Linked DNA regions of Ovis aries. Each later gene encodes a partner of the first gene's protein in a complex. Links are inferred from orthologs where the notes say so. Each region holds a gene or a part of one and is shown in the gene's direction. Other genes may lie near its edges.

Region 1 (3,961 bases):
GGAGGTGAGCGAGCTTTTCCTTGTCCTAGATTGTTTCTTCTTGACAGCCGCCTCTTCCTGGCTCCAGGAGTCCTCTGAGAATCCTTTACGAAGTAAGGAGGGTAGGATTTGCTTAGTGCTTTGCAGTTTAGCAAGCACTCTCAAGTTCTTTTTTTTTTTTTTTTCATTCGATTCTCACAACAGACCTGTGAGGTATTGTTTTTCTTTTTTGGGGCCGGCGGGGGGCGGGGCGGGGAACTGTGTCACACAGCTTGCGGGATCTTAGTTGCCCAACCAAGGACCACGGCAGTAAATGTGCCAAGTCTTTGCCACTGGACCACCAGGGAATTCCCCGCCGCCCCCTGACCCCGCCCGCCGTGAGGTATCCTTATCCTCATTTTAAAGCTGAGAGAAACCAAGGCCTGCAGAGGTTAAGGGACCAGTCAAGGCTTGGATCTGGAACCAGTGCTTTTCCCAGTATGGGCTCCTCTCTTCGACTCCAATCAACTTTTCGAGATGGTGGGGAGCAGCTCCTCAGGGCTAAAGCAGCTTCGCTTCTGTTCTCTACACTCAGGATCCAGGACTCTCAGAGTCTATGGACATTGACCCTAGCTCCAGTGTGCTCTTTGAGGACATGGAGAAGCCTGATTTCTCAGTAAGTTACTGGTGTGGAAGCATCCAGCTCCTGAGGTCCTTCTGTTATGCCACTTTGGGGAGTTTCCTTATGCACCCCCCTCAATCCCTTTGTCTTCCTCTAAACATTCTGCCCTTTCGCCTTTCTCTTAGTTGTTCTCCCCCACTATGCCCTGTGAGGGGAAGGGCAGTCCATCCCCTGAGAAACCAGATGTTGAGAAGGAGGTGAAGCCCCCACCCAAGGAGAAGCTAGAAGGAACCCTTGGGGTTCTTTATGACCAGCCGCGGCATGTGCAGTATGCCACACACTTTCCCATCCCCCAGGTACCGTTCACCAACACCTTCCGACCCTCTGTTCTGAGCCCAGGTTTCTGTCCAAGGACTTTGCCGAGGGGTTGGAGCTGTTCTTGAGGGTGTGGTATGCTGGGAAGGGTTGGAGTGCTGGGGTGCTGAGGGGCATGGAGCATGCTTTTGAGAGGAGGGAGAGTGATGCCTGCTGGAGTCTGATGGTGCCGCTGGGATGCAGGAGGAGTCATGCAGCCATGAGTGCAACCAGCGGTTGGTCGTACTGTTTGGGGTGGGAAAGCAGCGAGATGATGCCCGCCATGCCATCAAGAAAATTACCAAGGATATCCTGAAGGTTCTGAACCGCAAGGGGACAGCAGAAACTGGTGGGTTTGAGGCACCTGAAATGGATCTCCCCCAAAGAGCGCCTTAGTCAGTCTTCCCTTCCCCAGCATAGGGAACTCCCAATCATGTCCCAATGTCCTGTCTCTTGGAGTCTCCTGAGAGCTCTAGTCCTTTTGAAACTTCCCCCCTCATTCCCCCCCTCTGCAGACCAGCTTGCTCCTATTGTGCCTCTGAATCCTGGAGACCTGACATTCTTAGGTACCTCACAGTAAGCCCCATACTACCCGCCCTCCCTCTCCCTTCCCTCCCTCAACCTAGCACTTCCCTGTACATACTCCTCTAAGGTCCACATAGTATGTGGTCCTCCAAACCTTTGCTTCACTGTTCCCTTCCCTTCATCCCTCCCCCAGCCCTTCCTTGACCCTCCCTTCCCATCTTCCCTCTTCCTTCCTTCCCTTCCTCCCTCCCTCCCTTCCTTCCCCTTTCCCTCCCCACCATAGCCTTCTCTCCATATCCCCCCCACCCCCAGTTGCCTGGTTATCTTCCCTGTCCTGACTGGTCCCTTTCAACTGTCCCCTCAGGTGGGGAGGATGGACAGAAGCGGCGACGAAACCGACCTGAAGCTTTTCCCACTGCCGAGGATATCTTTGCTAAGTTCCAGCATCTTTCGCATTATGACCAACACCAGGTCACGGCTCAGGTGTGGGCCTAAGTCCAGCCCCCTTCCCACATTCTGGCCTCCCTGTCCTGTTTTCCTTCTCTCCTTATCTTTTTTCTCTCCCAGGCAGGCTAAGCCTCCTGTTCTCACCCCTTTTCCCCATCATCCTTTCCTGCTACCCTGGTTCTTCTCACCTCTCTCCACTCCCATCTCTCACTCCCGCTGCCCTTATCAGGTCTCCCGGAATGTTCTGGAGCAGATCACGAGCTTTGCCCTTGGCATGTCGTACCACTTGCCTCTGGTGCAGCATGTGCAGTTTATCTTCGACCTCATGGAATATTCACTCAGCATCAGTGGCCTCATCGACTTTGCTATTCAGGTGGGGGAGTTGGGGAGATGAGGGAGAGGGCGTTTGTGCAGTACAGGGTCACAAGGACAAGAGCAGAGGCTCAAGCCAGTGTCCCATGTTATTTGGAGGGACCAAAAGGCTAGTGTCGGGAGAGTGGCCTGTGAGCTAAGCCAGCAGGAATAGAGACTCAAGTGCTCCCTGGGGAGGCCCGAGAGATGGATTAGAGCACTGGGCACAGACTGTCCTTCCACTGTGGACTTCATAGGATTGTATCCTGGACACTGGGTAGATCACTGATGTGGCTTGTTGTTAATAGAATAAAGGACAGTGGCATATGCCACTGGGGCCCTTCCAGGCTGAGGCATCTCTAGCAGGAAAGGGCTCCAGTTTTCTCACAGGAAGGGGAATGATGTATAACATTCGAGGCTTCTTCTTGTTTCTCAACCCCCACTCACTCTGCTAGCTGCTGAATGAACTGAGTGTAGTCGAGGCCGAACTGCTTCTCAAATCCTCAGATCTGGTGGGCAGCTACACCACGAGCCTGTGCCTGTGCATCGTGGCTGTCCTGCGCCACTATCACGCCTGCCTCATCCTCAACCAGGACCAGATGGCACAGGTCTTTGAGGGGTAAGTGGAGCTTCAGAATAACCAAAACCCATGGGGCCCTGGTGAAGGCCGTTGGAAATGACCTGCAGAGAACACATAGGGCTCTTGCAATGCAGAATTGCATGCCTTCCTGGTAGGGAGGGGAGAGAACATTGCAGAGGGACAGGAATCTTGGCGCCCAGACCCGCCATTGCTCCAGGCGCGACCTTGTCCCTTCTCAACAGGCTGTGTGGCGTAGTTAAGCATGGGATGAACCGGTCCGATGGTTCCTCTGCAGAACGCTGTATCCTTGCATATCTCTATGATCTGTACACCTCCTGTAGCCATTTAAAGAGCAAATTTGGGGAACTCTTCAGGTAAGAGAGGTGGAAGGTAAGGGGTAGAGAGTGGGACCTCATCCCATCTCCTTGCTACTGCCCAACTTAGGAGCAGAGCACAGCTTACCACCCTGCTGTGTCTGCAGGGTCATTTGGGGACAGTGTCCTCTAAGTGTTCTTGGTCCCCAGAGTGGGCCTCCTTCCTCATCAGCCTTGCTTCTGGCCCACGCCTGCAGGGCCCACGCTCCTCCTCCCTGCCTCCTGGGGCCCCTGTGCCTTACCCTCACTGGGTTTCTTTCCCGCCCAGTTGGTCGGCTTTGTCCCATTTCCCCTCTTCTTGCCTTAAGGCCCTTGGTCCCTCATTTTCTCCTCTTTGTTCTTTTCTCCTCTTTCCTGACCATCCCTCTGGCTCACTAGCACGTCCTCAGTACTGCTCTCCCCTCTCCCCTCCTGCAGTGACTTCTGCTCCAAGGTGAAGAACACCATCTACTGCAATGTGGAGCCATCAGAGTCCAACATGCGCTGGGCACCTGAGTTCATGAACGACACTTTAGAGAACCCCGCTGCTCACACCTTCACCTACACGGGGCTAGGCAAGAGTCTTAGTGAGAACCCTGCTAACCGCTACAGCTTTGTCTGCAATGCCCTTATGCACGTCTGTGTGGGGCACCATGATTCGGATAGGTATGGGGCGTACTGAGTGAGGCATGGGCACCACGCTCCCGCCTGATGTTGGGAGGGATGACTTGCCCGGGAGGTACCACAACCTTGGTTATAGCCGGGGTGGAG
Region 2 (4,636 bases), on another chromosome or scaffold:
AACTACCCACTCCAGTATTCTGGGCTGGAGAATCCCATGAACATAGATGTTTTTGACACAAACGTCCTTACTTATTAACTCAACACGTTTGCTGCAAAATCACTTCAGTCATGTCCGACTCTGTGCGACCCCACAGACGGCAGCCCACCAGGCTCCCCCGTCCCTGGGATTCTCCAGGCAAGAACACTGGAGTGGGTTGCCATTTCCTTCTCCAACGCATGAAAGTGAAAAGCGAAAGTGAAGTTGCTCAGTCGTGTCCAACTCTTAGCAACCCCATGGACTGAAGCCTATCAGGCTCCTCTGTCCATGGGATTTTCCAGACAAGATTACTGGAGTGGGGTGCCATTGCTGCACACCAAAATCAAGCCATGATACTAGGCATCAGGGAAGATGCAAATATGACTTCCTATAGGAATTAATAATCTAGCAAGGAAGAGGAAATAAAAGAACACGATTTGATGAATACCATGGGAAAGGTGAAAAAATTGGTAGGATGTTAAAAGTGGAGAGACAACGTGGGGAACTTTCATGAAAATGGTAGCAGTTGGGAAAAGTAAAATAAATATAAACATAAAATTAATATAAAATAAAATAATGAAAAATAGTCATCTAAATAAGGGGGATAAAACAAAATGAGGTATTATTATCAATGTATCAGCACTGGGACTTCCTTGTTGGTCCAGTGGCTAAGACTCCACACTCCCAATGCAGGGGTCGCAGGTTCCATCCCTGGTCAGGGAATTAGACCCCATATGTTGCAACTAAAGATCCTGAGTGCCACAACTAAGACCTGGTGCAGCCAAATGTTTTTTTAAAAAACGATAAAGATACCAAGACTCCTCCAGCAGACACCTTTCCTCCCTTAACATTATGAACAGTTTTTATGGATTTAGACCCATTGCTGTAATCATGGCTAAAAATGGCAATTCTTAGGAGCAGTGGTGCAAAAGGCCGTACTCAAAGTAACATCTCCTCTGAAAGGATAGTCCTCTGTCACAAGGGTGCCACTCTCCAGAGGCAGCGTGGCCACTCCCAACTGACTCCCTTTTACTGATATTTGTAATGCGTGTTAGCACGTTGCTGTCACTGTGCAGCCCTTATTAGACCGTGACCTACAAGATTCCCCGAGTGATACTCTGTGAGCCGTTGATCAATAATTAGATTTATGTTTTTCGATAACGATAGTGCCCTTCAAACTCTGGAGTTCGGAAGTGGCACAAAATGTGATTCTAACACAGAATAGACTCCCTCACGCTTAAATTTCTCTAGTTAAGTTTCTGGCCCAAATCTGACTTTAGCGACAACGCTGTTAAAATAAAAAAAATTTCCCAAGTGGTCATCGAAAGGACTCCCCTCTTTCTGGACTACGAATCCCATCGTGCATCGCTCCCACCTCCCCACCTCGCGGGGGGCGGAGCCGAAGGCGGGGCGGCCACCGAGGCGGCCGGTGCATTCTGGGTGCTGTAGTCTGGAGCCCCGGCTGCCACCGGGACGGCCCACGTGGTGCTGTTGGCGGCTGCTCTGGGCAGCGCCTACGGCGCTGGGTTCACGCGCCCCCCGGGGGAGCGAGGCTCGGTTGGAGCGGCGCGCGGCGCGGGCGGCGGGGAAAGCCGAGTGGCCAGGGTCTTCGCGACGTTTTTGCGACAGCGCGGCCGCGTTCTGCGAGTCCCCGCCCTCCGCTCTCTGAGGAGGTGCCGGCTGTTGTGCGGCGCTGCCTTTCTGTCTGAGTGGACGGGAGAGCGAGCGAGGGAGAGAGCGAGTGAGGGAGCGAGCGTGAGCGTGTGTTACCGCGGCTAGGCGCGAGCGCCCGAGGGAGAGCCCGCTGCGCCGCCGCCGCCGCCGCCCGCCGCGGGGGCCGAGCGCGCGGCCGGAGCGCAGGAGCCAGAGCCCCGGAGCCCGCGGGGACAAGGGCAGCGACCGCGCTCCCCACCCCCAGCCCTCGTCCCTCGCCCTCCTGCGCCCCCGGGTTCCTCGGCGTGTGTCCCCCCAGCCCACCCCGGCCGGCCCCCGCCCCGCCGCCCCGCTGGATGTCCCCGGCGCCCTCGCGGGGCCTCCTCTTGCTCCTGCCGCCGCGGCCGAGCCGGCGCTGCGGCCGCCGGGCGTAGAGCGGGCGGCTTCCCGGGGGCCGCGGCTGCCGGAGCCTCCCGGAGGGCCCCCGCCCCCGCGCCGCGGCGCCGCGACCCCAGCTCCCCGGCCCCGCCGGCCGTGACAATGGACTATGACTTTAAAGTGAAGCTGAGCAGCGAGCGGGAGCGGGTCGAGGACCTGTTTGAATACGAGGGCTGCAAAGTTGGCCGAGGCACTTACGGTCACGTCTACAAAGCCAAGCGGAAGGATGGGTGAGTGTCGGCAGGCAGGTGGGCAGCCCCCGCGGGCCGGGCTCCGGGAGGACGTGGTGCCCGAGGGGGGCCAAGCCCGCGCGAGACCCCTACCCCCACCCCGCGAGCCGCTCCTGTGGTCTCCGGGCGCCGCTTGTCAGCAGGAGGAGCGTCTGATCCACGGGCTCTGTACTTTTCAAGGGCTTCGGTGCCAGATTTCTTTAAATGTTCCTTATAAAACGTCAGCTTAAATGATCTTGGAGGGAGGGGTCGATTTATTAGGGGACCCTTCACCCGCCTCCGGACCGACATCCATCAGCCCGGAAGGGAAGCTGGGATCCTTTCCCCCGCACAGGTTGGTGATGGATTTAAGACCCCATTTGGGTTTTATTTGTGGGGAAGAAAGCAGCAAGTCAGGGTGGTTGTGAAGAGTTCCTCCTGGTGATCGATCACCTGCGGCAGAAACGTAGCAGTTGCTGTTTCGCTATCATTAGCTGCGAGTTTTACCTAGAACAATGGGGGTTTGGTGCAGGGTAGGTGGTGGGGAGAAAGGCGAATGAAAAATAGGGGTGTCTTATTCAGACCCCCCCTCCCCCCCACTTTAGCAGTTGACAAGGAACTTTAAATAGTCTATTTGCTTTAAATGTTCTTACCTAGAAATAACTTAATTAAGTCTATGACTGGTAATGCTCCCAATTTAGTTTCCTAAACCGGCAAGTGAACTGTTCATTTTTCCTTTGTCACTAGATGAATGTCTTGTAATGTTGACAAAAGAGAAGACATTTCTTAGATGAGAAATATAATCTATTAACTCCTAGTTTTCCTCTTGTAAAAACGGATGTTGTCTTTCTCACCTTTGACACTATAGGAAAACGCTGGAAAGGACGTCAAAGCTTATATAATCTTTAGATTTTATTATAAACAAGTAGGTTTACTTGAATGTCACTCTTAGTTTGGTTAAGCTGCTGTTTAACGTTTAAAATAATTGCTTTTTTCAACAATTTAGATGGGAGGATATGTTCAGAACTGTATTAGTGCTTAAAAAAATGAAACCATTCATAAAGCTGAAGTTACCTGGGTTGGGGGGAAGCCATATTTATAAATACTTCAGTATCCTCAATATTGGAAAGGGAAGGAGCTATATATTCAATATTTTTCTTAGATTTGCTGAGGTGTCTTTCTAAAATAACTTAAAATGGACTCTAAGGAAGAAGATAGTAATTCTAACTAATTTGAAATATGTTTCAGTGCTTATATGCAGCAGTAACGCAGTACTGGTATCTGCAAAGATAGGGAGTTGAGAACTTGATCCTGTGTGTGCTGCATGTATTCACAAGTACTTTTAAGTGGGATGGATAGTTGGGTGACATTTGAGAAATCAGTGTCTGGAGATACTGCTGACTCTTGTTTAATTACGTTTCTCATTGAAGTATTACTCTGTAATAAAATACATAGTTAAAAAATGAGGTTAGACATTGTAGGGCATTTGACCAGTCTGTCATCTGTTCTATAAAATTCTGGTGACCCTAAATTGTTTTTGATCTCTCTGAAAAAAACAGTTCTGTTTTCATAAATTACTATTTTAATAAAACATCTAAATTTTATTAACTTTGACTTAACATTTTTATTAAAAACTGTAATATTGTTTATTGGCAGGAGGTACTTTTGACCACATTTTATATCTCGTGGTCAAGTTTTCATTAAGGCTAAGAAAAATTTTAGGAGATTTAAATTTAATCTGTACAATTTAAAAATAGATGGATGTATGGTATATGAACATATCTTTGTCATTCATGATAGCCAGGTAGCCTTGCATTTGGGAACATTAACTTGTTTATAATTCCTTGGACTTGTTTTTCAGTAGTCATTAATGATTTTGTTCATAGAAGTGTTTTTTTAAAAAATGGATCAAATGTCAAGAGAGTTTTAAACTTGCTTTCAACAGTTTCTGTGTTCCAGAGGGAATATTTTTCAGTTTGGCTTCTTATCACCTCACTCTGGTAAAATGCAGTATTATATTTATGAAGCTTTTTTGATCTTATGTCAATGAAATGTAATTTAATGCATTTAAGTCCAGGTAAAATAAAATTTGTGGCTATTTAATCTTGTATAAAAAGATGATCAGATAATTTGGTTCTAGTATTGATTTATTTTCAAATGAAGTTATATATTCTGCAGCCAAGATTTCAGAGAACTCTAGGATCCTAGACAGTAACACCTTCAAAGAGAGTACTCAGATTTAAATAAAATGAAACAAATTTTGTTTTGATGTCAGTTCATTTCAGTCACTCAGTTGTGTCCGACTTTTAGATGCCATG
Region 3 (3,961 bases), on another chromosome or scaffold:
TATATCTGCCATTAAGGGCACTGCTTACAGTGCCTTTGCTAGACTTTTTTGTTGATCATGAATATGTTAATAAAATCATACTCTTTCTGGAGGTCCCATATAGTAAAAATGGTGGAAGTTTTAATCTATATAATTGTGTGATTTTAAGCTTAAAATAACTCAGCTACTAAATCTGAATTTTTCCAGTTCTTTTAAAATTGTTTTCATCCATTAATTTATAATGAAGTATCTCACTCATAGTCTTCATATATACTCCCAGATGCTATTAGCTATTTGTTACTTATAAAATATAAGTTTAGACCTAAAATGTGATCATTTTCCAATTTTCCAGGAATCTCATGAACAGTGCATCCAGTGGATTGTTAAATTCATTCATGGCCAGCATAGTCCTAAAAGAATTTCTTTTCTTTATGACTGCTTAGCAATGGCAGTCGAGACTGGTCTCCTTCCACCCAGGTATGGTTAATGATGAATATGAACAATCTGAAATATTTTCTTTTTTTTTAATTAACGTTTAGAAATTGGTTGAGGTGATTGTTGTAAAAGGATAAGAGAATAAAGAAGGCAGTTACAGTCAACAAAAAGTGCTTCGTAGTATCTCAGTTTTAATTTCGAGGATGCAGTATTCTTAAAATTGTATACTTCAGGTGCTCAAAACCAGGCAGGCTTTGCCTTTTAGCCCAGGGATTAAAATCACTCACTTTGACAAGCTTTTCTAGGTAGTGTTTGTTGTATTTGTTATAGTCACTTGTTTGTTGAATTTTTTAGATTCCACATATAAGTGATGTCATATAGTATTTGTTGTTCTCTGTCTGACTTATTTTACTTAGCATAATACTCTAATAGTCTGTCCATGTTATTGCAAATGGCAAAATTTCATTCTTTTTTTATGGATGAGTAGTACACTGTGCGGAGAAGGCAATGGCACCCCACTCCAGTACTCTTGCCTGGAAAATCCCATGGATGGAGGAGCCTGGTAGGCTGCAGTCCATGGGGTCGCTAAGAGTCGAACACGACTGAGCGACTTCACTTTGACTTTTCACTTCCATGCATTGGAGAAGGAAATGTCAACCCACTCCAGTGTTCTTGCCTGGAGGATCCCAGGGACGGGGGAGCCTGGTGGGCTGCCGTCTATGGGGTAGCACAGAGTCAGACACGGCTGAAGTGACTTAGCAGTAGCAGCAGTAGCAGTATACTGTGTGTGTGTGTGAGATTGAGAGGGACATCTTTATCCATTCATCTGTTGAGGGACACTTAGGTTGCTTTCTTATCTTGGCAATTATAAATAATGCTGCTATGACCATTGGGATGTGTGTATCTTTTCAGATTAGTGTTTTTGTATTTTTTAGTTATATACCCAGGAGTGAAATTCCTGGGTCAGTTCCAGTTAACTTTTGCTGCATGATGAATTGCCTCAATACTTCATGGCTTAAAACAGTAATAATCCTTTTATTATTAACATTCACAATTACAGTGCTTGCTTGGACAAGGAGTAGGAAGGATTTTCTCAGGTTTTGTGTTTGCAATCGGATGGTGGCTATGACTGGAGTCATGACAAAGATTTCCCCATTCATATGCCTAACTGTCACCTGAGAGACATCAGCTGGCACTATTGGCCAGAACCTGCATATGCCTTCTCTGTGTGACCTTGACTTTCTCACAGTGTAGTGGAGTCTAGGAGCAACCATTCATAAGAGGGCTAGGCAGAAGCTGTATCACTTTGCCTTGAAAGCCTTTCCATTTGCCAGTCTTGGACCTGCCCAAACTGAGGGATAGATTTTTGTTTCTACCCTTTTGACATTGATACTCTTCCTGGGAGGAGCATCAATATCACATTTTAGAAGAGCACGTGGGGTCGAAAGTCTTATTGCAGCCATCTTGGAAAAACACAGTTTGCCACTAATTGGTTAATGATACACATTTAACCAATAGCTTTTGGTACATTTCTTTCTAGCAAAAATATAACATAATTAATATTAGTTCTACTTTGGAGAAGGCAATGGCACCCGATTCCAGTACTCTTGCCTGGAAAATCTCATGGACGGAGGAGCCTGGTAGGCTGCAGTCCATGGGGTTGCGAAGAGTCAGACACGACTGAGCGACTTCCCTTTCACTTTCATGCATTGGAGAAGGAAATGGCAACCCACTCCAGTGTTCTTGCCTGGAGAATCCCAGGGACGGGGAAGCCTGGTGGGCTGCCGTCTATGGGGTCGCACAGAGTCGGGCACGACTGAAGCGTCTTAGCAGCAGCAGCAGTTCTACTTTAGGACTTCCCTGGTGGCTCAAGACGGTAAGGAGTCTGCTTTGGGTTTAGTCCTACTCTGGGTTAAGTCTTTCATATAAATAAAAAATATAAAATGCTTTATGTAATTTTTTGAAAGTGTGCTTGAGTAATGTACCTTTATGACAATTATTAGCACTTACTGTGACAAATATAATATCCAGAGTTTGTGGACCTTGGCTATTAGAGAACTTACAAAACTCCTGTCTTGTAACTGGAATGGGTATTCCTTTTTTTCTAGGATGGTTTGTGAATCCCTGATAAACTCTGACACACTTGAATGGGAAAGAACACAGCTTTGGGCCTTAACATTTAAACTGGTTCGGAAAATAATTGGAGGGGTGGATTACAAGGTATTGTTTTTTCTGATTATAAAAAGTAATCGCTGTCAGATACTAATTTTTCAGGGTCTATTAATTTCACAGAAGAGAAATGAAGTGGAAGCATTTATAAAATCTGTCTCTTTTTTGTTGTATTTCCTGAAAGAGTTTAAAATTGCCCAGTGTTTCCCACAGCTCTCTGCTCCTCTCCCAACAGTCTTAAAAGTGCAGGTGGCTGGTAAACTTCTGTGACAAATAGGGAGTCACCAGGCAGACTCGGTTCTCTCATGCCACAGATCTTATGATCGTGGGGCCCCTGTCCAGTGGAAAGGCAAAGAGCAGGGAGGTGTGGAACTGAGAAGGGATGCAGGCATCAGCTGACAAAGGGAGCAAGTCCTGCTTCACCTTGGCCACCTTGGGCACTGTCATTCCTTAACTGGTATCTTCAGCACTCTGCTCTTGACCAAAACCAATAGCACACACACTCTAATTGTGTCTCATAACACAGCTCAGGAGCTCCACAGCTGCAGAAGCTTCTGCTTCATTCAAGCCACTTTGGTTATTGTCTCTTGAAAGACTTGTGGATACCTGACCCTGTGCATTATATCTGTATTTTCACTGATCTCAAATGGTTTAACTGATAATTATTGGCCAGAGTCATGATATCGTACAAAATTAGTTCTAAGAAGCCTTTTCTGATTATTTTCTATTTACTTGTACTTCGCTTTCCTTAGCAGGTTAATATGTAGTTTTGTACAAATAAGCACCTTATTTGTATGGTGCTTCATAATTGTTTCTTTCATGTATATGTTCTGTCTTTTACAAGACTGATCACATAGTTTATACTATGGAATGAAATGTCTTCCCTGTGTATTAGATTCTGCTTTGAAATCATGCAACTGGTAATAGATCTGAATAGATGACCAGTTAGCAGAATAGCCTTATTGGCTAAGTTTGAGGGGTTAAAATATGTGATGGATGATGAGAAAGAGGGAATGAAGTTAGAATATATACCAAAAGGAAGGTGCAGAAAAGGTTGTCTGCCAAAAAGTTGAATATTTATTGTCCATGTTTTTCAGAGTATTTTCAAGTTCTTCCAAATATATTTTTGTCTGTTAAGCTCAAACTAAACTTTTTGGTCCCTCATAATAATAGAAACTTTTCTAATGTTATAAAGCTGAACGGAATGTGGAAAGTTTAATTTTTATCTATAAGTGATTTCCTTTGTTCATTCATATGGCAAGCCATTCTTTAGATAGAATTCTGCTTTGGAACATGACACTTCTCTTGGGTTAATGTTAGGGGTTTGAATGTTAGCTTTGGTTCAGAAAAATTAAAAGTGTGACTTTGAGGGTTACAT
Region 4 (4,434 bases), on another chromosome or scaffold:
CTTCACTTTTCCCTTTGAACTACATGTGACCTCTATTAAAACCTGTGTGTATGGCTACCAGGCACAAAGACTTGGCATAAAGAGAAATATATTGAAACATAAACACAAGCCAAGTAATTAATTAAGGAAAGTCTGTTGCTTGCAACTCAGGTTTGCAGCTGGCATATAATTCCACTGATTATGATTTGTTTGCTCCTTGTCCCTAAGTTTGAAGCAGCCAAGGTCATTCAGTGAGTGAGTGATAGTCGCTGAGTTGTGTCGAGGTCTCTGTGACCCCATGGATTGTAGCCTGCCAGGCTCCTCTGTCCATGGAATTCTCCAGGCAAGAATACTGGAGTGGGTAGCCATTTCCTTCTCCAGGTTTGAAGCAGCCAAGGTTATTTAAAGGGCCCCCAATTCAAAACTCACCTGCCTTGGAGGCTCAAACAGTCTCTTTTCCATCAGCTTAACACATACAGTATCTAGAGCCTAAAAACTTTTTATGCTGGCTTCAAATTAAAATAGTTCACTGGGTCAAAGGCTTGCCTTTGGTCCAAGGTGCAGGAGGGTCAATGAATGTTGGCTAAATCCCGAAACCGCAGCTTGGCTCTTTCTTAAATTGATCTGTGGACTGTTTCCAGGAAACCAAAGATGATCGGTCCACCTGGCAGCAGGCAGGCTGCGAACTGGAGGCGATTCTGCCCTGGCCAAGGGCCATGGCCCCCTCGTGGCCCCGAGGAAGGCAGCATTTCATCGGGCCTTTTGGATGTTATGGCGGGCGGCTGGCTTCTCCCGCCGCGGCGTGCTCTCCACGCGGTGCACAGACGTCTCCACCCGCAGGGACGAGGCCCTGACGTGGCGGGAAGCCGTCTCTGTGAGCTGCGAGGCGGTTTCCACGTGCTGGGAGGACACCTCGAGGACTCGAGGGAGCCGCTTCCCAGAGGAGGAGACGGAGGGTCCCTCGCTGCTGCGCTGGGTGGTCTCCACCTGCCGGGAAGATGTCCTCACGTGACGGTAGGATGTCTCCACGCGGTGGGACGAGGTCTCCACGCTGACCGTCGCCGTCTCCTCGGAGCGGATGGATTCCGCCCGGGCCGGAGAGGGCTTTCCCCGAAGGGGTGAGGCCATCTTATGGGGGTAACAGGGCCAAGCTGACCTTTGGAGGCCCCACAGCCCCACAATCCCCGAAGGATTATTTTATACGGTGAGGAGCGACGTCACATGCCATTGTGATGCAGGCAGAGCGGTGGTCGAGGGTCCCGCGAACCACGTGGAGGCACCGTGATCTTGGGGCGGGGAGGCCTAAGATTCCTTGGGAACGCTGGGTTCGTCCCCTCGAGAGCGCCGTCTGCCCCCGCATCGCCCCTTAGCCTGTCAAGAACCTGTCCGGGTGGAGGCGGGGTTGGGGCGGGGCGGGCCCTGGATGGGCGGAGCCACCCGCCCCCTTGCGAAGCTGTGCCCACCCCCGCATCCCACACTGCCCCGCGGCAGGAAGGGGACGCTGCGACTTCCGGACCTTCCCTGTTTCTCCGATCCTGGCTGTGTGGGGTTGCTGGGGACTTAAGAGTGTCTGCTGGTGATGGCCGCGGCCGTCGCTATGGAGACAGGTGAGTAGCGCTCTGAGCCTCGCGTTTTGTCAAATAGAAACTGTCCCGGGTCCAGACACCTGCTTCCCGGGATTTTTTGAGAATCCAGGCCCAACTCCCGGCAGAGTGAGTGATCGGAGCGGGAGGCACCAGGGTTTTTTTTTAGCGACTGGAAGGGCGAAGGTAATTTGGCCTTTTCAGAGTTTGTTTTGTTGGCCGATCCTTTCTCCCCGTTAGTTATTCAAACAGTGGCCCCACCGGCTTCCAGAAGACTAAAGGAGAGATTTTGGATCATAAACCGCTTCCTCGAGTTGTTTTTTTGCATCTCAGATGAGCTTGCCTAAGTTTAAAATATCGTCAGCGAACTCTTGTATTACTGTGCCACTAACGGGTCTCACGTAAGCACGCGTTTCTTGATACTCACCAGGGTCTCTTTCATCTTGCATTCTGAACGTCTCTTGATGGATTTAGCATTTTGTTTTTGCTAAGCTTGATCACTTAACAGCTTGTAACGCACTATCAAAATAAGGCAAGGCACATTGCTGCAGCTTATCCTAGTGATCACTGTGAAGTCCCAACATGGTGGCTCACGAGTGATTAATGTTCTGCTCCATGTATAATCTTGTTTTCTTTGATAATTTAACTTTAGATAAACCTTTTTTTTTTTTTTTTTTTCTTAATCAGGGCTTTGCTTTCCTTAGACTTATAAGGAAGGTGTTTCTCCTCCTACACCCAGTTTAGGAAAACCTTTGCATGCTCTTCTTTATGTAACTCAGCATTAGTCAGATGTCTGTACTGCTGTTTTCTGTCTAAAAATCAGTATTATATACAGTGACATTTATTTTGGATGATTTTGCTATCTTCTCTCCTAGATGATGCTGGAAATCGACTGCGGTTTCAGTTGGAGTTGGAATTTGTACAGTGTTTAGCCAACCCAAATTACCTTAACTGTAAGTTGTTGAGCACCTCATTGAAGTGAATAGCTAGTTACGATTTCTGATAGAAGAGTCAAAATTCATAGTACTGTCAGCCCTTTGTATCCTTGGAGGCAACCTCAGTTGGTGGAATCTGCCCATCCTGAGGGTGACAATACTGTCATGGCACTATGTTGTTTTGTACAGGAGATTGGAGCACCTGTGGATTCTCGTGTCTGCGGGGCCTCTTAGAACCAACTCCCTGTGGATTCTGAGAGATGACTTTAGTATCTAGTTTTGTACATTCTTAACTGAATGGAATGACTGTTGCACTTATACTGGTATATATAATTGAGCAAACTGGGACTTCTGTTTTGAATTCAGTGTGTGTTGGTGGTGGGAATGTTATGTAAGTAAATTCTTTACGATTATGTTAGTCACAGATCAGTAGTCCAAGGACTGGTGTGCTCTACAGATGTATTTTTTTTTTTTTTTTTATGCCTTTCAGTTCTTGCCCAAAGAGGTTACTTCAAAGATAAAGCTTTTGTTAATTATCTTAAGTACTTGCTTTACTGGAAAGAACCAGAATATGCCAAGTATCTAAAGTAAGTTTAATTTTTATAGTCCTAAACATGTGTGTACTTTTATTATATTCCAAAGCACTGATATTTAATAGACTTCTTACTTTCACGTTGGAAAAAATACCTGTTGAATCTCTGCTCTCCTTTCAGTTGCCTCCATTTTAATACGAGACACATCATCTCTAACTTAACTGGGATTACTGCAGTATCTACTCATTGGTATTCCTCCTTTCTCCCTGCCCTGCCAAACAAAGAAGAAACATTTTCTGCACAGAAGCCAACTTGGTCTCTTAAAAATAGAAATTACATTCCATTAGAACCCTTTGGTCGCTTCCCATTGCATGCAGAAGAAAATCTCGTCTCTTAGCCCTGTGTGATCTGTCCCTGTCTTCTCTGACCTTATCTTGTACCACTCCCTGCATCTCACTGAGTTTCTGACCTCAAGGAACCCGCAGTCCATATATGCAATGACAGCCATAGCCTGAAAATGAAAAAACATAGAAAGAGGTACTTACTTGTAAGCAAGGGTTTCTGGAGAAGGTAACCGTACCCGAGTCTTAATAGCTGCTTTCTTATTTTATATATCTTACATAATAAATACATGAATTTATCATTCAGGTTGTGCAATAGATACTCTCGTTTTAAGGCTTACTGAAATGCAAGGAGCATATTGTAATCACAAACATTTCTTTTTAATGATAAAAAATAAGCCTTGAACACCCACCTCTGCTTTGTCTTAAATAGGTAGTCAAAAAGCAGTGGTGAAATGTCTAGCCTTTTTTTTCCCCTAAACAGACACAAGTTTGAGAGGAGAATGTTTAAGACTTGTACTTTGGCCAAGCCACTTTTCTCTGTCTAATAACAGCTGCTTTATGAAGTCCACATCCTCCTTTTGCCTGTGGGACCCTTTCCACCCTTACTGGCCCTTTATAAAAGAACCACTTATTCATTTAATAATCCAGAGAAAATATATATATTTTTTTACTAGATTGCAACATGTTATATGTATGTATTATAGACTTAGAGACTCAGTGTTGGACACTGAGCCCTGGACACCGTCAGGTTCAATTTTACCCACAACATTGCTGAGATGGTCATCTGTATACTGGCTGGAGGTTTCTAGTGAACACATACTAATTCAGGGGCAGCCAATTCCGTTGTTAGCTAGATTCCAGAAAGTTCCTCCTTGTATTATTGTGTCCGACTCTTTGCAACCCCATAGATTGTAGCCTACCGGGCTCCTCTGTCCATGGGATTTTCCAGGCAATAGTACTGGAGTCGATTGCCATTTCCTTCTCCAGGGGATATTCCCAACCCAGGGCTTAAACCCAGGTCTCCCACATTGTAGACAGATGCTTTACCGTCTGAGCCACC
Region 5 (4,486 bases), on another chromosome or scaffold:
GTTACCTGCAACTTTGGGGAGATGCCTATCCAGCAGGTAGAGGTAAAATGATACGATGTTGGGATTTGCTTTACAAGCGTTCAGCAAAGAAAATAAAAGGATCAATAAAGTACATGAGACAAAACAGTGATACTGCTGAGTGCAAAGCAATGCACCCTTTTACCTTGAAATATATTGACAAACTGCATTGGAGCAAGCTGTTTTGGTTTTCATCTCCACTAGATCACGTCTGAGCCTGCTCATTTCACCCAAACCTTCCCACCGTCATGGACTTATTTTTCCAGCATTAATTAACATGACAAAGATAAACTGACTTATCATTGGACCCTGTGTTAGCACTTACTAACTTGTGCATATGAGCGACTTTCAGTATGTTTTTGCGTACAGGAAAAACCTGCTTAGTTTCCTCCCCAATTAAAAAAAAAAAGTATTTCTGTTTTCCTAAGTTTGTATTGATCAGTAATACGTATTTGGGTAGTAAATTTCTGTCAACACATGTTACAGTGACTTCCGCAGTTTACCGTATCGTTTTCAGCTTGGTTTATGAAGTCTTCTGCGGACAAACAGCTCAATATTTTCCGTGCTCTGGCTTTGCTGTAATGATAAGAAACTCTTCCCCAGTCTTCAGGATTATACAGTGTTATGGTTTCATTTGTTATATTTACATTTTTAATCCACCTGGAATGTATTCATGTTCTAGGCCAGTTTCTGGCTCTTCTCCCAGAAAACAACTATCAGGTGTTGCTTAGCAACCTCCACTCGGGTTAGAGTTCGGCTTCTTTTAGTGGGGAAAAAACAGCTGCACTCCTTTCAGAGTTGATTGCCACCTTAAAGCGTTGCCTAGTAACCCCGTTTTAGACGTTGTGATTGGACCCTTCACACGACCCACCCACCCCCATCCCCCAAGAACCAGTAAGAACTTAACTAGAAACCTAATCTGTCTTTTTAGGAAAACAAGGGCAGCGTATGCGTTGCATAGCAACCAGGTCTCCCGGCCCTTCCATTGAAACCGGTGTCGGAAAGGTCGCCCCCCCCTCAAAAATGGCGTCTGACGCGCCGCTTTCAGTATATTTCGCCCTCGAAAGTTCTGCAAATAATTCAAGCTTCCACCTCTGGTCCCCGAAGGAGTTCTCTAGGTCCTTTTTGAGTCTTGCACACACTGGGAGCGAAGGAGGATGGAGATAAACCCACCCGCCCCGGGCGCCCCGCACAAACATGGCCGCCAGCGCGCCGCCAGCGCCGAGAGGCCGTCCCGCGCGGGGGCGCGCGCGGCGCAGGCGCACTTCCGCTCAGCCCGCGGTGTCTGAGGCGGCGGCGGCAGCGGCGGTGGCGGCGGTGGCGGCGACGGCGGCATCTGCGGCGCGGGGCATGGTCCCCGGGTCGGAGGGCCCGGCCCGCGCCGGGGGCCTCGTGGCTGACGTGGTGTTTGTAATTGAGGGCACGGCCAATCTGGGGCCCTACTTCGAGGGGCTCCGCAAGCACTACCTGCTCCCGGCCATAGAGTGAGTGCCGTTTCCGCGGCCCCAACCCCGCCCTCCGAGTTTAGTTTTCCACACTCTCTCCTCACCCCGACCTTTCACTTCCGACCCTCACAGGTATTTTAATGGCGGCCCTCCTGCCGAGACGGACTTCGGCGGAGACGTGAGTCTTGGAACTCTCGAGTTTGAGGGAAGATGGGAGTCCGGACTGGGTCTGCGGGAGGAGGGGGCGGTACCTGAACCCTGGGCCCGAGGTGGGAGGGCTCGGGTCCGGACTCCGGGGTCGGAGGCGGGAGGGGCTGGGGTTTGGACACCTGGGTCCGAGGGGCTGGGGTCGGGATTTGCGGGTCCGAGCGGGGAGGAGCTGGGGTCTGGACTCTGGTTTCCAGGAGAATGGGGCTCGGGTTCTGGGGCTGAGGGAGGAGGGACTGGGGTCCGGACTAATGGGTCCGAGAGGGGAGGAGGCTCAGGTCTTGGGTCCGAGGCGGGAAGGGCTCGGGTCCTGGGTCTGAGGTGGGAGTACCGGGGTCCGGACCCCCGGGTCCGAGGGAGGAGGGGCTGGGAGCTCCGATTCCCCTGAGGGAAAAAGGAGCTGGGTCCCAGATGAAAAGTTCTCCTGTCCTCCCCTCCCAGTATGGGGGCACCCAGTACAGCCTCGTGGTGTTCAACACGGTGGACTGCGCTCCAGAGTCCTACGTACAATGTCACGCTCCCACCAGCAGCGCCTATGAGTTTGTCACCTGGCTCGATGGCATTAAGTGAGCTCTTTTCTCGGCTTCCGGAAGGGTTGGGGGAACCTGGGAGGGACGGCAGAGGAATGGTGCTGCCGGATCCAGCCCCTCACATTGGTTGCTAAAAAGGGCTGCGATGGGGGTTGTGGTTTTGTCCCTAGGTCACTTCAGTGGTCGGTTCTGTATGCTCAGCTGGTGTTGCTGTCTGGCTTGGAAGTAGAAAGAATTTCCTGGTCAAGGAGGCCTGGGGAAGTCCAGCACCCGTCCTACTCCTCATATATTATTCTCCTTTCTGTCTGTTGCTTCTCTTGTCTACTCTAGCCCTTCTTTTTCCTACTAGGGGCACTGAAGCTTGAGCGCAAGAGGGGTGGGGCTAAGCCTCTGTGCTTTGGAGTCAATGTTGATAGTTCACACTGCAGGTGCAGACAGCCTGGGGCCACTTTTCAGCTCTACCACAACAGGACTGCCAGACCCACGAGTCCCTGTCCTCTGTGTCTAATAGAACTCATCTCTAAAAGGGGAACGGTAATAGTACTTATAGTCATCCTGTTACTTATCCAGTGTTGGGAAAACAGATTAAAGCTTAGTGACTTGGAAATTCTCTGATGGTCCAGCAGTTGGGACTCTGTGCTTCCACTGCAAGGGACATGGGTCTGATCCTTGGTGGGGAAACTAAGATCCCACATGCTGAGGGGCACAGCCAAAAAAAAAAAAAAAAATTAATTTAGTGGCTTGTTTCCTTAAGTAAGGAATTCAGGGGTGGCTTTGATGGATGGTTCTCACTCACGGTCTCTTGTGGGATTTCAGTCAGATGAGCTGGGACCGCAGTCATCCAACTGTTGGATCGGGACCAGAGGATCCATTTCCAAGGTGGCTAACCCTGTGGCTGTTGGCCAGAGGCCAACTTGCTAGCTGTTCCTTGCTAGCTGTTATTCCTAAGATATCTCTCCATGGGGCTGCTTGAGTGTCCTCCCAACATGGCAGTTGGCCTTCCTCAGCCTGAGCAATCCAACAGAAAGAGCAGAAGGAGACTACAAAGATTTTTATAATCAAATCTTAGAAGTCACACCATCATTTGTGTCACATTCTGTTTAGTATACAAGTCAGTTCTGTTCAGTGTTGGAGGGGGCATGAATACCAGGAGATGGTGCTCAGTGGAGATCTAGTTCCGGTGACACTATAGGGGACTTTGGGAATCAAACGAGTTGATGACTGTTGAGAACAGTGCCTGACACGATTAAGCGCTCCCTCAGCTTTTGCTGTTCTTTTGTGTTTTGGTTTCTTGGTCTGCAGAGGGATAACGGTAGTCCATATCAGCACTCAGAGAAGGGTCACAGAAGCTAATCTTCATACTGTGTTCAGCTCAGGGTCTGGTCAGAGTCCATTAAACAACCGGATTCGTGGGCTGCTGTTATCTGCAGCAAATGTTTGTTGAACACTTGGTTTGTTTCAGGCTTCACGTGCTAGACCAGGCACTGCACATTCACTTTCCCCCCTTATGGTTGTTAGAATTCATGGTCAGGGCAGAGCAGGGTTTCTCAACCTCAGCACTGTTGACCCTTTGGGCCAGATGATTATTGTATGTGTGTTGTGGAGGGGTGGGGGGCATTCCTGTGTGTTGTAAGGAGTTCAGTAGCATCCTTGGCTCCTTCCCCCCCAATGCCAGTGGTCTCCTCCCTCCCCAGTGTGATAAACAATAAAAACAAAGATGTCTCCAGACATTGTCAGATGTCCCTTTGGGGACAGAATCCGCCCCAGTCGAGAACCTCTGGAACAGATTGTGGTGAGACTTGAATAATGTGGAATGGGGGCTCCTTGAGGTTCAAGTCCAAGTCTGATGTCCCTCAAGTTTCTAGCACCCAGCACAGGGCCTGGCATGAAAGAGCCCCAAGGAAAACTTTGTGGAACAAGCGAATGAACGAATGTCCAGAACGCCCTTCATGCTCTGGTTCTCCCTGGTAAACGCCTACATAACATCCAGGGCCCACGCAAACGTCCTTTCCCTGATTCCAGCAAGCAGTCAGTTGCTCTCTCCTCTGCCCCCATTGCTCTCAGCTGTTTCCCTGTTACAGAGCTCCACACCTCTGGACTGTGAATGTCCAGGCCTTGGGTATTTCTCCTGCTGTTTGCCTCCAGCAGGGGCCTGAGACGCGAGTCCTTTGCCGATTAAATAAACAAGTGAAAGCTGTAAGGAAGAGAATCACCAGGAAAGTGAACCTTCTGGTGGGTGTCAGGAGAAATAGTGAAACCCCCTTGTTTAAAATGTCAAGGGCACTA
Region 6 (3,961 bases), on another chromosome or scaffold:
CTGCTGGCATCCTGGCTCACGCCAGGGTCTTTGCTCTGGACCTCTCTCCCCTCTCCAGGGCTTGGATACCATCTCACCTCTGGAGGCTTCTGCTGTCCACCTCGGAGGCCCAGCTGAGATACTGCTCTCACCACAGGCACCCCTGGCCTGCCTTTTACCTGACACCTACCTACCTCCCTGCCCCAGCCGTCCTGTACTGGGTTTTTTTTTTTTACAGGCCTGGAGCCTGGCTAGAAGCCTCCCCTTGGCTATACTGAGCCTTGGTGTCTCTGCTGTGCATTGGGCCCTCTCGTTGAGAGTGGAGGCAAGGGCCGCAGGCTGCTGGGCTATTACTGTCTGCTGGATCTGAGGCTGGAGGCCCAACCTTGCACTGCATAGAGCCCAGGACGCCTGCCTGTTGGCTGTGCTGAGGGCAGAACTTGGCCTGCTTCCTAGTCCTTAGGGCCTGATTGCCTCCAGATGCCCAGATAATGCTCCCTACATAGCGCTCAGTGCCCTTGCTAGCATGGCTGGAGCAGGGGAGCCAGAGGGATGAGCCCTCGGGTGGTCCTGAGCTTGAGGAAGGCAGCAGACAGTGCTGTCCACAGCGCTGAGAGCCTGAGCACCGCCTCAAAGCCGAAAGCCCCTTTGGATGCCCGCCTGAGTGTAGAGGCTGCTCGGCTATGACAGTGGGGTGGCAGGCCTTTCCCCAGCCCCACCCTGAGCAGCTTCCAGGAGGGTCTCTGGCTGTGTGAGGGTCTACAGTGCCAGCTTGCTCCAGCCCCCAGCATTGCTCAGGTGTTCTGCCTGCCCCTCCTCTGGCAGCAGGACAGCGTCTGCCCAAGGACAAGGACACTCTGTGCCACTGGGCTCGCTCTGTGGACACTGCTGGTTCAGGAGTGTGTAGGGACCCAGGGCTCTAAATACACCAGGGTGAGGTCACTGAGGTGGAGAGAGGCCATGTGGCAAGCCCAGGACCGTGCGGGCCAGAATCCCAGGGCTGGGGACAGGGAGCGGGTGGCCTTGTTCCCGTGGGACCAGCCTCCTCACTGCCCGGTTTGTCAGGATATTTTCTTAGACATCACTGCTTTGGGGCTCCAGAAAAATCTGTCTACCCCAGGGTTGCAAAGATATTTTCCTGTTTATTCTAGAAACCTTAGAGTTTTTGCTTTCACATTTAGATCTGGGGTCCATTTTAATTTTTGAGTATGCTGTGATGCTTAGTGTAATTGGAATCAACCCAGTGTGTATCTCCTGTGACTTTTCATCCACTGTGGTTTGAAGTTCATCTGTTGATGTACTGAAGCTGCAGTGTGCTCATTTCTAGAGCTCTTGAATTTCTTAGTCTGTTCAACTTTTGGACGACAGTGGTGTCGTTACAACATGTGACCACATGACCCACTCCTTTACATCACATTCATAAAATGTGATGGTAATAATAGTTCACACCTTCTGCTTGAGGTTGTGATAATTCAGTGGAGTAGTGCTGTATGGAAACAGACCTTGGTAGAACAGGGCCTGGTTCATAGCACGTGTCATCGAGGTATAGAATTGCTTGGTCACGAGACACACAAGTGTTTGATTTGACCAGACACAGCCCAGTGCTCCCCAGAGTTGGCCGTACCCCAGAACTACCTGGTGTTGTCAGATACCGTTTCCAGCAGTCTGGCGTGTGTTCGTTGCAGCCGCTTGTGGGTTCGGTGTGCCTCGCCTGATGGCCAGGAGAGTTGAGCGCTGCTGCACCATTTCCTGTCGTGCCCAGTCCCTGTTCGTGTCTCCCGGCCCGCGTTCTCTGTGGGCCCAAACACAGACCCGGCGGGCCCTGTGGCATTGGTCTCCTCCCACTTTGTGACTTCTGCTCTCCTTGGGATGTCTTTCAGTGAACTCTATAAAGATCTTGTTAAGGCAGCTAAATTGATTAGATGATTATGCACAGCTGTTTTAAATGTGGTGCGTTTTATTCAGTGAGTCCTTCAGCCTCCCATCAGATGGCAGACTCGAGTGCATTTCCCGCATCAAGAGTGAATCTTGTTTCATAAATGTGAATTTCAGTTGTGCGGCAGCCGCTTGGGCAGATGGGTGTGTCCGTGGACAGACTCAGTCACCTGTTCACCGGGCACTGGAGGAGGCCGACGGGAGGGTGCGCACTAGGTGCGTGCTGGCCCCTGGGAGCAGGTAGGAGGCTGCAGGAGGGGGTCTCCGGTGATGCTGGCTCTACCGGCGCTTGGGAAAGGGGGAATTATGGAGCAGGCCAGCACCGGGAGAAGTGCCTGAGGTCTGACAGCGGCTCTTGTTTTACAGATCCGGAACATGGTGGCGGTGCAGGAAGTCATCTCCAGCCTGGAGAAATACCCCATCACCAAAGAGGCACTGGAGGTGAGCATTCCAGGTCTGAGCACTAGGGCGGCAGTGATGCGGGGCCCGGGCTGCCCCAGCCCTGGGCTTTCTTGACTTCTTGGAGCCCCAGAGACTTTGCTCACTGGCCCAGCAAGGCCTTAAAGGGAGGAGTGAGGGGGGCATGCCCTTCTGGCCTGCACTGTGCCAGTCCACAGCACATGGGCACTGCAGGAAATACGAGAGGCTTTAGTTCAGAGTTGAGGCCCCTTTCTCTGCAGGAGGCCCTGCACACTCTGCAGTGCGCAGCAGAGGCTCCAGTGAGTGAGGCTGGCTCAAGGTCCCGTGTGCTGTTGCCTTTGCCACAGTGTACTCTCACCTAGAAATCTCCCCTGGCCAAGTGTCCTTGAGGTGGCCGTGAATGGTCCGCGGCCTTCAGGAGTTGGGAGCCTGTGAGATGATGCTTCTGAGAATGCTCTGTCTGTCCCATGGACTGTAAGATCTGAGGACTTGGGTTTGAGAATTTAAATGTCACGAGGGGCCCAAAATCTTCATAGGTTTTGTGTCTGGGAGACCAGTGGTTTAGGGGGCCTGTGGGGTCATTTCAAAGACACGAGCCCTTCCCCCAGCTCCATGGGAAGCTCCATTTCTGCCTCTGCTCTCTCTTCATGGGGTGTCCCTGTCCTAAAAGCGTGTCATTGTGTCTCTCTGGCTGTAGGAAACCCGCCTTGGGAAGCTCATCAACGACGTCCGCAAGAAGACCAAGAACGAGGAGCTTGCCAAACGGGCCAAGAAGCTGCTGCGGAGCTGGCAGAAGCTCATCGAGCCCGTGCACCAGAATGAGGCTGCGCTGCGGGGGCTGGCGGGTGCCACCGGCTCAGCCAACGGCGGTGCCCACAACTGCCGGCCAGAGGCAGGGGCGGCCGGCCCGCCCAAGAGCGTCCATGACCTGAAGTACCGCAATGACATGCCAAGGCTGTGCGGGCAGCGGCTGGACAGGTTGGGCAGCCGCAAGCGCCGGGGAGACCAGCGTGACCTTGGTCACCCTGGGCCACCTCCCAAGGTCTCCAAGGCAAGCCACGACTCCCTGGTACCCAACTCGTCCCCCCTCCCCACCAATGGGATCAGCGGGAGCCCTGAGAGCTTCCCCAGCCCCCTGGACAGCAGTGGGCACGTGGGCCCTGAGGGCAACCGCCTGGAGCACGGCGAGAATGACAAGCACAGCGGCAAGATCCCCGTCAATGCCGTGAGGCCGCACACCAGCTCCCCGGGCCTGGGCAAGCCCCCCGGGCCCTGCTTGCAGACGAAGGCTGTGGTGCTGCAGCAGTTGGACAGGGTGGACGAGACTCCAGGGCCCCCCCACCCCAAGGGGCCACCTCGCTGCTCTCTCGGTTCCCGGAACTCACGGCACGAGGGCTCCTTTGCCCGGCAGCGGAGCCCGTACACGTACAAGGGCTCCCTGCCCAGCCCATCACCTCGGCCCCAGTCGCTGGATGCCACGCAGGTGCCGTCACCGCTTCCGTTGGCCCAGCCGTCCACACCCCCTGTGCGGCGACTCGAGCTGCTGCCCAGCGCAGAGAGCCCCGTGCGCTGGCTGGAGCAGCCGGAGGGCCACCAGCGGCTTGCAGGGTCGGGCTGCAAGGCGGGG
Region 7 (3,581 bases), on another chromosome or scaffold:
CGTCAACGTCTTGAGACAGCTGAGAGGTTTCAAAAGCATCTGGAACGAGTCATTGAGATGATTCAGAATTGCTTGGCTTCTCTGCCTGATGATTTGCCTCATTCGGAAGCAGGGATCAGAGTAAAAACTGAACCAATGGACGCTGATGACAGCAACAATTGTATTGGACAGAATGAACAACAAAGAGAAAATTCAGGTCATAGGAGAGATCAGATTATAGAGAAAGATGCTGCCTTGTGTGTCCTGATTGATGAAATGAATGAAAGGCCATGAAGGATGTTTCTTTTCCTTTCCCGTTCAGTGAATGGTAAACACATTAGTTAATTCACTTTTAGAGAGTTTCAAAAGAGAGATAACTAGAAAGAAGTCTTGCAAGCAGCTTGATTCTCCAACTTTCTCAATTGTGAGAAGTCATAGCAGTAATTTCACCTTATGGCAAGCATAGGTAAATGAGTGTGCCTACATTAATTAAGAGTGATCCCCTTAAAAAGCAGAGTGCAGGTGTTTGTGGCATATCCTTGTTTCCAGAGTTGCAGTGAATTTTGAAGATATCTTCAGTGATAGCAGGTTTCAACCCTGGGAAGTAGATTTGTCATTTGCTTTAAGAGTGATAGATAATAAAAGATATCAGACTTTATAAATGAAATTATGAAATCTTTGTTTCACTTAAAAACTTGCTTAATCTCTAAAAAAGAATAGTGTAACATGTTTAAAGAGAGGAACCCCAGAGTTGTAAAAGTTTCATTTTTTCTCTTGGCTGTTCTTGCAAACACTGTCTCAGCCTCTTACCCCTATCCTGGATGGGTCCTGGAACTTTTATCCAGTCACTAAGAAGTCCTTTGATCACTTTTAGTTACAGACATTCATTTTAATCATTAAAATGTCTATGTAAATTATCTGTACTACATTTCCTAGATTCAGACTTGCTTAAGGGTGGAAGCCTGCCATGGAAAGGGGGTTTGGTGGCAGAGATTACTGGATGTCCACCAGAGATTCTTGCTCCCCTGAGACATGCTGCCTTGCCAGAAACTGCGGTTCTCCATTCCCTGTGCATCTCTGTGAGTCCATGTGACTGAATTCTTAGCAGTGGAATATGATGTAAAAATCCAGGCCTGCCCCATAAAAGTTTTTTATATCACCCACCATTCTCTTCTCATCTGGTTTGATGATCACACCCAGGAAAACTTTGGAAGCCACTTGAAGATGGCAAAAGTTTGGTCATTTTGGGTCCTTGAATGCCTGAAGACCAGGACCTCCTTTCATTTTAACTCCATCCTCCCCACCGTCCCACCCCTTTCCTTACCCCTGCTGATTTAACTTCACCATGTGAATAAGAAGTCAACTTACTGTTGTTATTTTGTTGTTACTGTTGTTTTGAGCACTGAGATTTCATTTCTGCACTTCTCTTTTCTCCAACCCCTCTTCCACTGAAATCTTGATGGAGAGTCTGCCTTGTATATGAGGGTTTCTCCCAGCCTTTCTCTTAATAAAGCATATTTAGAAATATGCTTTGAGTGATTCTCAAAGCATAGTGCTAGACTGGCAGCATTGACATCACTTGGGGACTGGTTATGCAAATTCTCAGGTCCACCCCAGGCATGTTAAAGTGAATTCTAGAAGTGGGGCTCAACAAACTGTGTTAAAGAGCTCTCAGGTGATTCCCATGCAGGCTCAAGCTTAAGAATCCCTGATAATGATAAGGCTTTTGCCCAAATAAACAGGCGAAGTCCGGTTTAAAGTGGCCATGGGTCAATTCTGTGTGTGAAACACTCATTTATCCTTTTCTTTAAAATTCTGGGGCATTTAGGCTGTTCCCAAGTAGATAGCCTGTTCTGCATACTCTCTTGGACTGGGCCTAAGCCATGCCAGATGAGGGACAGATGTTCTTGGCAAGTGGGGCCAATCTGCTGTTTCTGTCCGTGGGCCCCTTGCCTGTCAAAAAATATTTGGCTTCCCTAGTGGCTCAGTTGCTAAAGAATCTGCCTGCAGTGCTGAGTTTGATCCTTGGGTCAGGAGAATCCCCTGGAGAAGGAAATGGCAACCCGCTCCGGTACTCTTGCTAGGAGAATTCCATGGACAGAGGAGCCGGGCAGGTTACAGTCCATGGGATTACAAAGAGTCAGACACAACTGTGTAACTTTCAAGTAGATAACCTCTCTGTTAGGCAGATAGTTGGCAAGTCTCATTTGTTTTTTCCTCATATGTGTTTGGTATTGATTTTTTGGCTCCATAGACTCCAGGAGACACAGTCTGGGCTCTGTTAAGTTTAAATTGAAGGGGGAAGGAAACCCCTTCATCTCCCTATGGCAGAATAAGGTATAACACTTTGGCAACTCTCCAAAGGAATCTCCTTTGAACACAACCCTCTTATAACACTGAAGTACAAAACCAATTTTGCAAATCCTTGCATGGAAAAAACTGAATCACATTATCACTATCACATCCTTAAGAGAGTCACAGCATTATTTGTATATAATGTTTGTTGGAGAGAAAGAGTAAGAGATTAAAATTTCATGTGAAATCTTAAATTCTGACTTTGAAGGGATATGATCTTGCAGATCTGTCAGGGTGGAACTTGACATAAACTAATGAATTCTGATGTGAACTCCTGCTGTTACAATGGAAAAAACACTGGTGAAAAAACACCAGTGGTCTGATAGTTGTTACAGATTTCAAAGTGTATGTAAAAACTCTAAGTATTAAAATACATCTTTGCACACCTGATCGTAATGAATATTCCTTATAAATTGATACCTTGAAGTGGAATATCTGAAGGTATAACCAGGGCAACTCTTGAGATTACCAGTGCTGGGACCCAGACTACAAGGATTCTGGTTTCATTGCTCTGGAGTGGGGCCCTGAGATTGGGTTTAAGAAGTTTGTAGGTGACTGCTGTGCCATAGGATAAAGGATTGCATTACTCAGTACTCTATACTTGTACTAGTTTAAGCAAAAGATGAATTTGTTGAAAGGATTATGAAATCCTTTTAAATTTATGAGATGAAGGATTTATGAAATCCCTAACAGGATTATTGAAATCACGTGTTACATGATTGAGGGGTAAGTTAAACATCCAAACCATGAAGAGGACTTGGAGGTTCTTTAGGGCAAGTGGGACTCAAACCTGACCCAGAACGCTTTGTCCCTCCTTTCTGATTTTTCTGTTAATTTCATTCTATACAAACCAGCTTCTTTGATGGTATGAGTGGAGAACATGTGTGCTAACAGTTCCTGGGTGTTAAGTCTTTCTGTACTACTGTCTGGGAGTTGTCTCCAAAAAAAAGGTAATTGACCAGCTGGAAGGGAGAAGTTAGGGGTGGCATTCCTGACTTCAGCTGGGCCATTCAGCTGGCGGGGGACGGGCGGGGGGGGGGGGGGGATGGCGTCAGATTCTGTAAGAATATGACAGATCCAAACATGTTAATGTATGGAAGGAGGTCGTCCACCCCTCTGTTTAAGTCCATTTATTTGCTCTAGTCATTTAGTGGATATTGTGGTCCTCTTTATTCCTGACACTGGTTTAGTTCCTGGGGGTATGAAGAGTGGGAATGAAAATGAAAGAAACAGGATCACAAATAGGT

The links.
Region 2: the proteins of MED12 (region 1) and CDK8 are in contact, whole or in part, in a cryo-EM structure (PDB 8TQ2), measured with the Homo sapiens proteins. The link is inferred for Ovis aries from reciprocal best matches to the Homo sapiens genes MED12 and CDK8. Residues at the interface, in NP_005111.2 of Homo sapiens: Pro26, Gln27, Gln31, Glu33, Asp34, Leu36, Asn40, Val41, Lys42, Gln43, Gly44, Phe45, Asn47; in NP_001251.1 of Homo sapiens: His143, Ala144, Trp146, Phe180, Asn181, Ser182, Pro183, Pro186, Ala208, Arg209, His210, Thr212, Lys213, Met273, Pro274, Pro320.
Region 3: MED12 (region 1) and MED23 share a complex: the UniProt entries of both Homo sapiens proteins name them as parts of the mediator complex. The link is inferred for Ovis aries from reciprocal best matches to the Homo sapiens genes MED12 and MED23.
Region 4: MED12 (region 1) and MED31 share a complex: the UniProt entries of both Homo sapiens proteins name them as parts of the mediator complex. The link is inferred for Ovis aries from reciprocal best matches to the Homo sapiens genes MED12 and MED31.
Region 5: MED12 (region 1) and MED25 share a complex: the UniProt entries of both Homo sapiens proteins name them as parts of the mediator complex. The link is inferred for Ovis aries from reciprocal best matches to the Homo sapiens genes MED12 and MED25.
Region 6: MED12 (region 1) and MED26 share a complex: the UniProt entries of both Homo sapiens proteins name them as parts of the mediator complex. The link is inferred for Ovis aries from reciprocal best matches to the Homo sapiens genes MED12 and MED26.
Region 7: MED12 (region 1) and MED7 share a complex: the UniProt entries of both Homo sapiens proteins name them as parts of the mediator complex. The link is inferred for Ovis aries from reciprocal best matches to the Homo sapiens genes MED12 and MED7.

The regions. Positions count from the first base shown.
Region 1 is NC_056080.1:63,837,178-63,841,138, forward strand, and holds part of MED12 (mediator of RNA polymerase II transcription subunit 12), read left to right. Parts: coding exon 1-4; intron 5-553; coding exon 554-634; intron 635-765; coding exon 766-936; intron 937-1,138; coding exon 1,139-1,283; intron 1,284-1,449; coding exon 1,450-1,500; intron 1,501-1,823; coding exon 1,824-1,942; intron 1,943-2,135; coding exon 2,136-2,279; intron 2,280-2,712; coding exon 2,713-2,876; intron 2,877-3,079; coding exon 3,080-3,211; intron 3,212-3,628; coding exon 3,629-3,856; intron 3,857-3,961. UniProt on the Homo sapiens protein: Component of the Mediator complex, a coactivator involved in the regulated transcription of nearly all RNA polymerase II-dependent genes.
Region 2 is NC_056063.1:33,436,819-33,441,454, reverse strand, and holds the start of CDK8 (cyclin-dependent kinase 8), read left to right. Parts: upstream 1-1,685; 5' UTR 1,686-2,211; coding exon 2,212-2,339; intron 2,340-4,636.
Region 3 is NC_056061.1:57,044,629-57,048,589, reverse strand, and holds part of MED23 (mediator of RNA polymerase II transcription subunit 23), read left to right. Parts: intron 1-331; coding exon 332-456; intron 457-2,091; exon of another isoform or gene 2,092-2,290; intron 2,291-2,522; coding exon 2,523-2,634; intron 2,635-3,961. UniProt on the Homo sapiens protein: Required for transcriptional activation subsequent to the assembly of the pre-initiation complex. Component of the Mediator complex, a coactivator involved in the regulated transcription of nearly all RNA polymerase II-dependent genes.
Region 4 is NC_056064.1:25,114,844-25,119,277, forward strand, and holds the start of MED31 (mediator of RNA polymerase II transcription subunit 31), read left to right. Parts: upstream 1-1,491; 5' UTR 1,492-1,558; coding exon 1,559-1,586; intron 1,587-2,437; coding exon 2,438-2,515; intron 2,516-2,987; coding exon 2,988-3,084; intron 3,085-4,434. Other genes in the region: C11H17orf100 (uncharacterized protein C17orf100 homolog), read right to left, coding at 730-1,107. UniProt on the Homo sapiens protein: Component of the Mediator complex, a coactivator involved in the regulated transcription of nearly all RNA polymerase II-dependent genes.
Region 5 is NC_056067.1:55,910,422-55,914,907, forward strand, and holds the start of MED25 (mediator of RNA polymerase II transcription subunit 25), read left to right. Parts: upstream 1-1,273; 5' UTR 1,274-1,368; coding exon 1,369-1,502; intron 1,503-1,595; coding exon 1,596-1,641; intron 1,642-2,111; coding exon 2,112-2,236; intron 2,237-4,486. UniProt on the Homo sapiens protein: Component of the Mediator complex, a coactivator involved in the regulated transcription of nearly all RNA polymerase II-dependent genes.
Region 6 is NC_056058.1:6,224,678-6,228,638, forward strand, and holds part of MED26 (mediator of RNA polymerase II transcription subunit 26), read left to right. Parts: intron 1-2,280; coding exon 2,281-2,355; intron 2,356-3,031; coding exon 3,032-3,961. UniProt on the Homo sapiens protein: Component of the Mediator complex, a coactivator involved in the regulated transcription of nearly all RNA polymerase II-dependent genes.
Region 7 is NC_056058.1:66,386,951-66,390,531, reverse strand, and holds the end of MED7 (mediator of RNA polymerase II transcription subunit 7), read left to right. Parts: coding exon 1-273; 3' UTR 274-2,724; downstream 2,725-3,581. UniProt on the Homo sapiens protein: Component of the Mediator complex, a coactivator involved in the regulated transcription of nearly all RNA polymerase II-dependent genes.